Sus scrofa: one gene and its partner. The protein of the gene in region 1 interacts with the protein of each later gene in a pairwise test. Links are inferred from orthologs where the notes say so. Each region holds a gene or a part of one and is shown in the gene's direction. Other genes may lie near its edges.

Region 1 (4,261 bases):
GCAGGAACAATGCTCTTTGCTGCTCTTCTGTCGAGTTGCTCTTCTGGGAGTTTGCCATTTTCCACGCAGATTCAGCAACTTTATTGTCATAGAGTGGTGACTACATGCATTTGCATAGCACTTTATAGTTTATGGGTTTCATTATCTAATATCTAATTTAACCACTCATTCAAAGAGTAATTATTAAGTGCTCACCAACTGCCAAGTACAGTGCCCCAAGTCCTTGCTGTCCCACCTGTGTCCCTGGACCACCAGCAGCCACAGCATCTCCTGGGAGCTTGTTGAAAAGGAAAATCTTGGGCCCTCTACACACCAGAGTCAGAATCTGCATTTAAACACGATTAAGGAGTTCTCATTGTGGCTCAGCAGGTTAAGAACCTGACACAGTATCCATGAAGATTCAGGTTCGATCCCTGGCCTCAAACAGTGGGTTAAGGATCCGGCGTTGCCACAAGCTGCAGTATAGGTTGCAGATATGGTTGTGGCAGAGACCAGCAGCTGTAGCTCCAACTTGACCCCTGGCCAGGGAACTTTCATATGCGGTAGGTGCAGCCCTAAAAAGAAAAACAAAACAAAAAAACAAACAAAAAAGACTCCCAGGTGATTCATATGCACATTAAAGTTTGAGAATCCCTGCTTTGTAATATTTCCATAATAACACGATGAAGTTTAATATCGATTTTTTTTTTTTTTTTTGGCAGCACCCAGGACATGCAGAAGTTCCCGGTTAGGAATAGAACCAGGGCCCCAACTGCCTCAGCAGCGACAATGCCAGGTCCTTACACCGCTGAGCCACCAGGCAATTCCCCAAATATTGCTTTTAAAACAAAATTTGTTTACGGTAAAAATTTAAATAATAATATTCAAATAATATAAAATTAAAAAAAAAAAACCCACCCTTGAAAAACTTTACGAAAATTTCTTGACAACTTGTTTCCTTTTCACAATTACCTCGCTAGGATTGGAGGCCCGGCAAAACCAACCAAAAGGCTTCCCTTTGCCTGACCACCCAAAGTGGTCTTGTTTAACTTAATTTTCTCTATAGCAGTCTATCTTCGTATAAGACAATGACCTTTCCAAGGGCGGTTTGTTTCTTCCCTACGTCTGCTCAGACACACTCCCCAACCTCGGCAACTGCCCAGCATCCAGCGACCCCCTTAGGGCAGGAACGGCCCACCTCGCCCCGCCCTCACCACCACTCCCTGTCCCCACCAGGACAGAGCCCCCTCCTCGCCTGGGGGCGGAGCCCCTATATGCCCCACCCCGAGGGAGGAACCTCGAGTTACGCACGCCCCACCTCCGGATGGAGCCCCGCTCCCTTCCAATAAAGCCCCGTGCCCACTCCCGGGGGCGGAGCCTGCGCTCAAGCTGGGCGCCGGGTCCTCTGCAGGCCTCACGGTTGCTGGGGTCCAAGGGTCCACGGCCCAGGAGCCGGTGAGTCCTGCTGCGAGCTCCCACGCGGCGTCGCGCTACCTACGCTGGTGGGTAGGGAGCGGTGCGGCGCGTCCTCGGCGGTGACGGGTCCCCCGCCGGAAATGCAGGGCTTTCCCAAGCTTTACCCTCGTCACTTTATTACCGGCGTGAAAACTCAGTTACCGAACCTTTTAGAAGCGTCTTTTATGGAAACCTGAATTTATCTTTCTTTTTGGCTGTTAACTACTTTTTAGCATTTCTGCCCCTGAGCAATCCGGGTTCTGCAACCAGCCCGCCCCGCACCCTGGGAAGATGCTTTTAGACCCTCCCCAGACAGTGAATGATGTCCTGAGAAAAGGGGACGCCCGCTCCTCTCCTTTTAGCGCGGTCGCTAGGCAGCCCCTTAATTAGCCTCTTGCGGTTAACCGCTGGGGGGAGGGGCTCGAAGGTAGCGGGGTGACCTTATCGAATCTGTGCCCCTTACGGTTCGGATATTTTAAGGATTCGGTAGAGGCAGTTCCCTGCCCAGTTTTCCATCTCCATGAATAAACCTAAAAGAAACATGCCCTTGTGTCAAAAGGTTTTTAAGGATCAGAACTATTCCAGAAGCTTCCTCGGTTGGAGAGGACCAGCGCACATTGCTGGTTGAGGTTCAGCTTAGCCGCAGTGTGGCCAATCTCCCTATAGCCCTGAAGTTTGGTTAGTAGGGTCTCTCCAGGGTCTTGAAGATGTGAAATAGCACATTTAGCGAGGCTAGGGCACCATCAAATTAAAAATATGTATTATAGGATGTGCTGCTAATCAAACTATGAGAAACCATGGATTGTAAGAGGCACCCCCCCTTTGAGAGATTTTTTAAATGCTTTCAAGAATTGATGAAATGCAGGTAGCTACCACCATGCCAGGAAACTGATTAGTTCTTTGGGTTTCCATGATAACTTGCAGTCTTTTGCAGGTGGATAAATAGGTAAGGGTGGGGGGATGCCTTCCCTGTCCTAGAAGCTAGGGGCAGACCACTCAGACTGCCTCATATATGAGCTCCCAGTGAACTTGGATGATTTGGGGCGGGGAGAGATGAGAGTCACAGATACCCTTACATCAGATTAAAATGGAAGCCCAGCTGTTTCTCAGTTATTTCTTTCTCTATTTTTTTCTTTTTACAGCTGCACCTGCAGCACATGGAAGTTCCCAGGCCAAGGGTGGATTGGGAGCTGTAGCTGGGAGCTTTACAGCTGGAGCCTTCACCGGATCTGTGGCCTATGCTGCAGCTTGGGGCAGTGCCAGATCCTTAACCCACTGAGTGAAACCAGGGATCAAACCTACATCCTCACAGAGACAACCTCTGGTCCTTAACCTGCTGATCCACAACGGGAACTCCCAGGGATAGTTTGCTATAGTTAAGCTGGATGTGGCCTCTCCCTGTTCTGACCAGACATGATCTTGGACTGCACTTGCTGTGATTCTGAGCTCTGCATTGTCATCACAGACACTGCAGTCCCTCTAGTGGGGTGGTCCTGGTGGGGCTGGATCCACATCTTTGTCAGTGTGCCTTTAAATCCTTCTCTCCTGAAAGCAGGAGATAAAGCAGCATCTGTGGGCTGGAATGATTGTTTGGGGGAGGCAGAAGGAAGAGGATAGAAAAAACCTGGAGATGGAGTTCCCATCGTGGCGCAGTGGTTAAGGAATCCAACTAGGAACCAGGTCCCTGGCCTTTCTCAGTGGGTTAAGGACCCGATGTTGCCGTGAGCTGTGGTGTAGGTTGCAGATGCGGCTCAGATCCCACGTTGCTGTGGCTCTGGCATAGGCCGGTGTCTACAGCTCTGATTCGACCCCTAGCCTGGGAACCTCCATATGCCACTGGAGCGGCCCAGGAAATGGCAAAAAGACAAAAAAAAAAAAAAAAAAAAGAAAGAAATAAAAGAAAGAAAAAACCTGGAGATGAGTTAGGACCATAGCCCAGGCCTAAAGTCCAAAGGGCCAGCTCCCATTCAGGCTGCCATAGGATGGAAGCTGAGGACGTGTGCGGTGTGATTCCTGGCACACTGTTGGTGCTTTCATCTGACACCTCCATCTCTAACCACATTCCCTTTGGGGCCGTATTTGCTCTTAAAGTTGGTGGCAAAAAAATAGCAGCTTGAAAGTTCAGTGCTTGGCCCATGTTAGAAATGCTAGAGATAACACGGCTCAGTCGGTGGCTCAGTCAGTGGCTTCCTCTCCCACCTCTGCCCGCAGGGATGCCGGAGGGGCCATCTGTGAGGAGGTTTCACCATCTGGTCTCCCCCTTTGTGGGGCAGCAGGTGGTCAAGACAGGGGGCAGCAGTAAGAAGCTGAACCCTGCTGGCCTTCAGTTGCTGTGGCTCCAGGACGCCCAGGTAAGTTCCTTGTCTGCACCTCACCCTGAGGGGCCGGCTCCATTGTCACATCCTCCCCTAAGTTTATCTCCAGACTTTCCATGCTCTCTACTCCCCCCAGCCTGAGGCAACCATGCTGAGACTCCACACAGCATCTCTCTTTTTTTTTTTTTGTCTTTTTGCTATTTCTTTGGGCCGTTCCCCGCGGCATATGGAGGTTCCCAGGCTAGGGGTTGAATTGGAGCTGTAGCCACTGGCCTACGCCAGAGCCACAGCAACGCGGGATCCGAGCCACGTCTGCAACCTACACCACAGCTCACGGCAACATCGGGTCCTTAACCCACCGAGCAAGGGCAGGGACTGAACCCGCAACCTCATGGTTCCTAGTCGGATTCGTTAACCACTGCGCCACGATGGGAACTCCACAGCATCTCTTCTGATGTTTCTCAGCCTCAGGTGAGCATCAGTGGCCTGAACTGGAGATTCTGGTGACTTCA
Region 2 (4,301 bases), on another chromosome or scaffold:
TCTCCTCTACTAGCTGGCAACACCCTGGCTGCCTGTTCTGGAAGACAGGATGCCGAGGTCATGAAGAGCGTTCGTGCAGCCTCCAGGCTGCAGTGCTGAGACCCATGACTCCTCCTTGGGGAACCCTGTGGATCTCTGGAACCAGCCAAGAGGGATAGCACTCTTCTGGTCCATGCCCATTTCGGCCCCAGTCCTGCAGCTCTGGGCTGTGGAATAGTCAGTAAGAGAAGAGCTCTGACCCCATGTGCTTGGAATGTCATCCTCCAAGAATTTTTTTTTTTTTTTGTCTTTTTCTAGGGCTACGCCCATGTCGTATGTGGGTTCCCAGGCTAGGGGTCGAATCGGAGCTGTAGCTGCCGGCCTACGCCAGAGCCACAGCAACGCTAGATCCAAGCTGCATCTTCAACCTACACCGCAGTTCACGGCAACGCCAGATCCTTGACCCACTGAGCGAGGCCAGGGATTGAACCCTCAACCTCATGGCTCATAGTTGAAATCATTAACCACTGAGCCACGATGGGAACTCCCCCTCCAGGAAATTATATTAACCCTCCAGAGAGACCAGCAGGGCCTGGGGATTGAGTGGACTAATTGGACGGTTGAAATGGCCTTGGGGCCTCCAGGGACGGGCACCAGCCTGGAAGACCATGCAACTGTGTGCCGAAGAGAACTCCTTTGGGAATGAGAATCGCCCTGATTGCTATTTCCATGCCCAGGTTCCATGGAAACCCTGGCCTCTGGGGGTTAGGGGAAGCAGGTGGGTGAAGGTTAGGAGGCCAGAGAGCAGGTGGGGGAGGCCTGGAGGAACTTCAAGGAACTTATCTGACAGTCTTTCCCTTGCCATGGAGAAAAATGACTTGAAACCCCTCTAGAGATGAGTGTGGCGAATTGGCATGTAAGTTGGGGGTTAAAGAGCGGAAGGAAGAATCTGATTGTTTTTTTAAGTTACTGGGAAAGTGAGAATGTCACTTTGGGCCGAGAGAAACCCTTTTTTTTTTTTTTCTTCTAGAGTGTGTCTTTCTACTATAGACGGTAGTGGGCCGCTGAGACTTGCAAAAAAAGCTTTCTTTTAATCCACCTTCCTTTTGCCAAGCAGCAGTAGAAGGGCCTTTAAATCAAATGCAATCAGCAAACTTGTCTCTTGCACTTATTCCCAGCTTCACTCCCTGGAATTTGGCACTTGATGGATGCTGGATCTGACTTAAGGCTTTTTCCAAATCCGAGACTTGGGGAATTTTGTTAACAGTGCAATAAAATAACTTCATAGTGTTATAGGAGGCACATTAAAGAAATTGTGTGTGTGCTGCTCTCTCTCCTTAAAAAAAAAAAAAAAAATACAGACAATGTTTCTTTAAAAGACTCCATCTGCAAATCCCATTAGATGTGCATATAAGGTTTCTGATGATTAATAGTTGCCTGCTCGGGTTTTGGTTGGAGGGGATGGTGTGTGTGCTGGTTAACCCCTCCCTCTCCTCTCTCACATTTCACTTCAGAAATTTGTCACTCTCTCCCCACCGCAGGATTTAAAAGTGTGTCTCAGCAGCCCTGGACCAGCTCTCTGCAGGCGTTTGCTGCAGGCTCCAGGACAAGCGCTCTTTAGCTGGTGCGTCTGGGCTGGGACAGTGAAAATGTTGAGTGTCATCAGCGACACATACACGTACAGGGGACCCCAATAGGCAAGCTGGTGCGTCGGGGGGGCCAGGAAGCCAGGAGTGAAGTCTGATAGAGGTGTGTACACACGTGTGTGGAGCCAGCCACCTGTGTGCGGACCGTAAGGAGCGACTTTAGTTTTGGTGTTTGTTTGGGGTCCTGGGTGGAATTTTTCTGTTGAACATTTTTCTCTTCTGTTTAAAAAAAAAAAAAAAAAAAAATTTTTTTTTTTTTTTGCATTTTTAACAAATTGAGTATAAAGTATACCAATCCAGCCTTTGAAAGGACTGAGACGTGGGGCAGACGACAGATGGATCCAGTGGCCAGCAGCTGCATGAGGGGCCCCCACCCCCCAGCCCCGGTCTGGGGCTGCCTTCGAAACCCCCACTCAGAAGGCAGCGGGGCCTCAGGGCTCCCCCACTACCCGCCGACCCCGTTCTCCTTCCACCAGAAACCAGACTTCACAGCGACAGCGACGACAGCGTACCCTGACTTCTCGGCCTCCTGCCTGGCGGCCACCCCGCACAGCCTGCCCCAGGAGGAGCGCCTCTTCACTGAGCAGCACCCCGCCTTCCCACAACCCCCTGACTGGCCCTTCCCTGTCTCGGAGGCCCGGCGGAGGCTCAACCCAGGCCCGGCGGGGGGCTCCAAGGAGATGGGGGCCCGCAGCCCAGGCCTGGTGGACACCACGGGTGGCCCGGGCGAGGACTACGAGGTCCTTGGGAGCAGTGCCAATGAGACGGAGAAGAAGTCAACCAGACGGAAAAAGGAGAGTTCAGGTAGGTGGCTGGGGAACAGCTGACGTTTCCTTTACTGTGTGATCTCGGGGCGGTTGCTTGCCCTCTCTGAGCCTAGGTGCCCTGACCGTAAATTGGGATCTAACCTAATCAGAGGCGGGGACTAGACCAGTTACCTCGGAGTTTCAGGAGTCTCTGGTGATGGGGGCTATGACTATGTCCCCAGCCTTCCTGGGCCCCAGAAAAATGTGCCAGCGAGAGAATGAAACAGGATCCACATCGAGTTGGAGGGCATGTGGGAGGGAGCCTCTGGGTAGAGGCTGGCAAGGGCCGCAGAGGGGCTTTCCTGCATCTGGGCTGCCTCTGGGTCATGCTTCTCCCCACCACACCCCAGCCAGCTCCAAACAGTCCCAGAGCCCCAGGACTTGCTCCCAGGGGCATCAGCTAAAACCGAGACTTGGAAGGTTAAGATCAAGGCTGGGACCCTGGGCAGCCAAGCAGAACCAGAACTCTGTGTGTCCAGGAGGCAGAGGAGCAGGCACAGGGCGGGGATGCAAGAGGCAAGCACTGAGCTTTGGGGCCGACCACCCAGGAGGTACCACCCTACCCAGCAGGCCAGGCCCAGGCCAAAGGGTCAGCTCAGCCTGCTAAGGTCTGGGTGACCCCCAGGGCAGGCTGCCCCTCTGAGGAGCCCTCCAGAGAGAATCAGGGAGGCAGGCAGCAGAGGGCAAGCACTGGATCTTGGCGTGAAGGTAACGCCCAGCTTGGTGCTGGAGCCCCCGAGGCCAGAGGCTGGAGCTGGGCTGCTTGCTAAGATCCCAGCTAAAGTCCATCTCCTCCCCGTGGTGGGGACCTGTTTTTTCCTCATCTCCCAGTGGGACCCCCCCTAGCCCCCCACCACGGGCTTCTCTCACCTCCTGTTCACCTTTGGCCTGGATCCCTCCCCCATCTCACACAGCACAAGACAGTGCCCTGGCCTCCTGCCCCTTCTGCCCCATTGTGTCTTCCTGACAACTGCTTCGGGGTACATCTGACTGTCTGAACCTACAGAGGACCCTTCTTGGGGCTCACCAGGGGCAGGCTGAAAATGAGAGGAGCAGCCAACCAAAGAAAACATGCTCCGCTTTGCTTTACAAAGCGCTTTCAACGTAGCACAGACTTCCCGAGCATCTTCTCTTTGCCAAGAGGCCCTGGGGTTGCAGAGATGAAAAGGCGGTCTCACTCCCACCTCCAAAGAGCGCAAACGGAGAGGGAGGGGAGGTCAGCAGGTGCCTGTCTGGCAGTGGATGTGCTCTGATTCAGGGGGTTCGAGGTGCTGCAGGAAACATACCATAGCTCTTTTGAGTCCCACAGGTTTTCGAGTTTGATACAGCAGGTCTTATCAGTGACTTGATTCTTTAGGCGTGGAAAAGGAGAAACTTAAAAGTTTGAGGGGAGCACTGCTAGCAAGGAGTCAAAACAGAACGACCCATTCATCTCAAGGAAGCCAGGACTTTTCCAGTTTTAGCATTGAAAGTTCAGCACCCCAGGGACAGTTAGTCACCCAAGAAGAAAACTCAAACCCCAGACTTCAGACCCCAAACCCACCCCCTTCGGTAGATTTCAAGCACAATTCTTCATTTTGAAATATTGGGTCTCCAGGCTTGAAGAAGCCTCTCGGTGTGCTTGCAATGAATGATAAAAACCACAGCCCTCCAGGCTGCTCAGTAGACGGGCCCTTTAAGTCCCCAGTCGGCTAAATCCTGACCTATTCCTAGGCTTGGCTGGAGATGTGCCGAGAACGGGGCATTTCTGCTTCTCCTCTCCAAGAAGCTCTCAGCCACTTGGCTCTGCACCTCGTTGAAGAGCCCTCCCCTCTGTGGCGCCTGCCACCGTAGCTCCTCCATCTCTGCCCACATCCACCTTGGCTGCATC

What was found.
Region 2: the proteins of NEIL2 (region 1) and MEOX1 interact in binary tests that used the Homo sapiens proteins (3 or more experiments, as listed by UniProt). The two-hybrid records come from large-scale screens. The link is inferred for Sus scrofa from reciprocal best matches to the Homo sapiens genes NEIL2 and MEOX1.

What each region holds. Positions count from the first base shown.
Region 1 is NC_010456.5:14,943,851-14,948,111, forward strand, and holds the start of NEIL2 (endonuclease 8-like 2), read left to right. Parts: upstream 1-1,278; 5' UTR 1,279-1,434; intron 1,435-3,645; 5' UTR 3,646-3,647; coding exon 3,648-3,785; intron 3,786-4,261. UniProt on the Homo sapiens protein: Involved in base excision repair of DNA damaged by oxidation or by mutagenic agents. Has DNA glycosylase activity towards 5-hydroxyuracil and other oxidized derivatives of cytosine with a preference for mismatched double-stranded DNA (DNA bubbles).
Region 2 is NC_010454.4:19,429,907-19,434,207, forward strand, and holds the start of MEOX1 (homeobox protein MOX-1), read left to right. Parts: upstream 1-1,496; 5' UTR 1,497-1,960; coding exon 1,961-2,429; intron 2,430-4,301. UniProt on the Homo sapiens protein: Mesodermal transcription factor that plays a key role in somitogenesis and is specifically required for sclerotome development. Required for maintenance of the sclerotome polarity and formation of the cranio-cervical joints.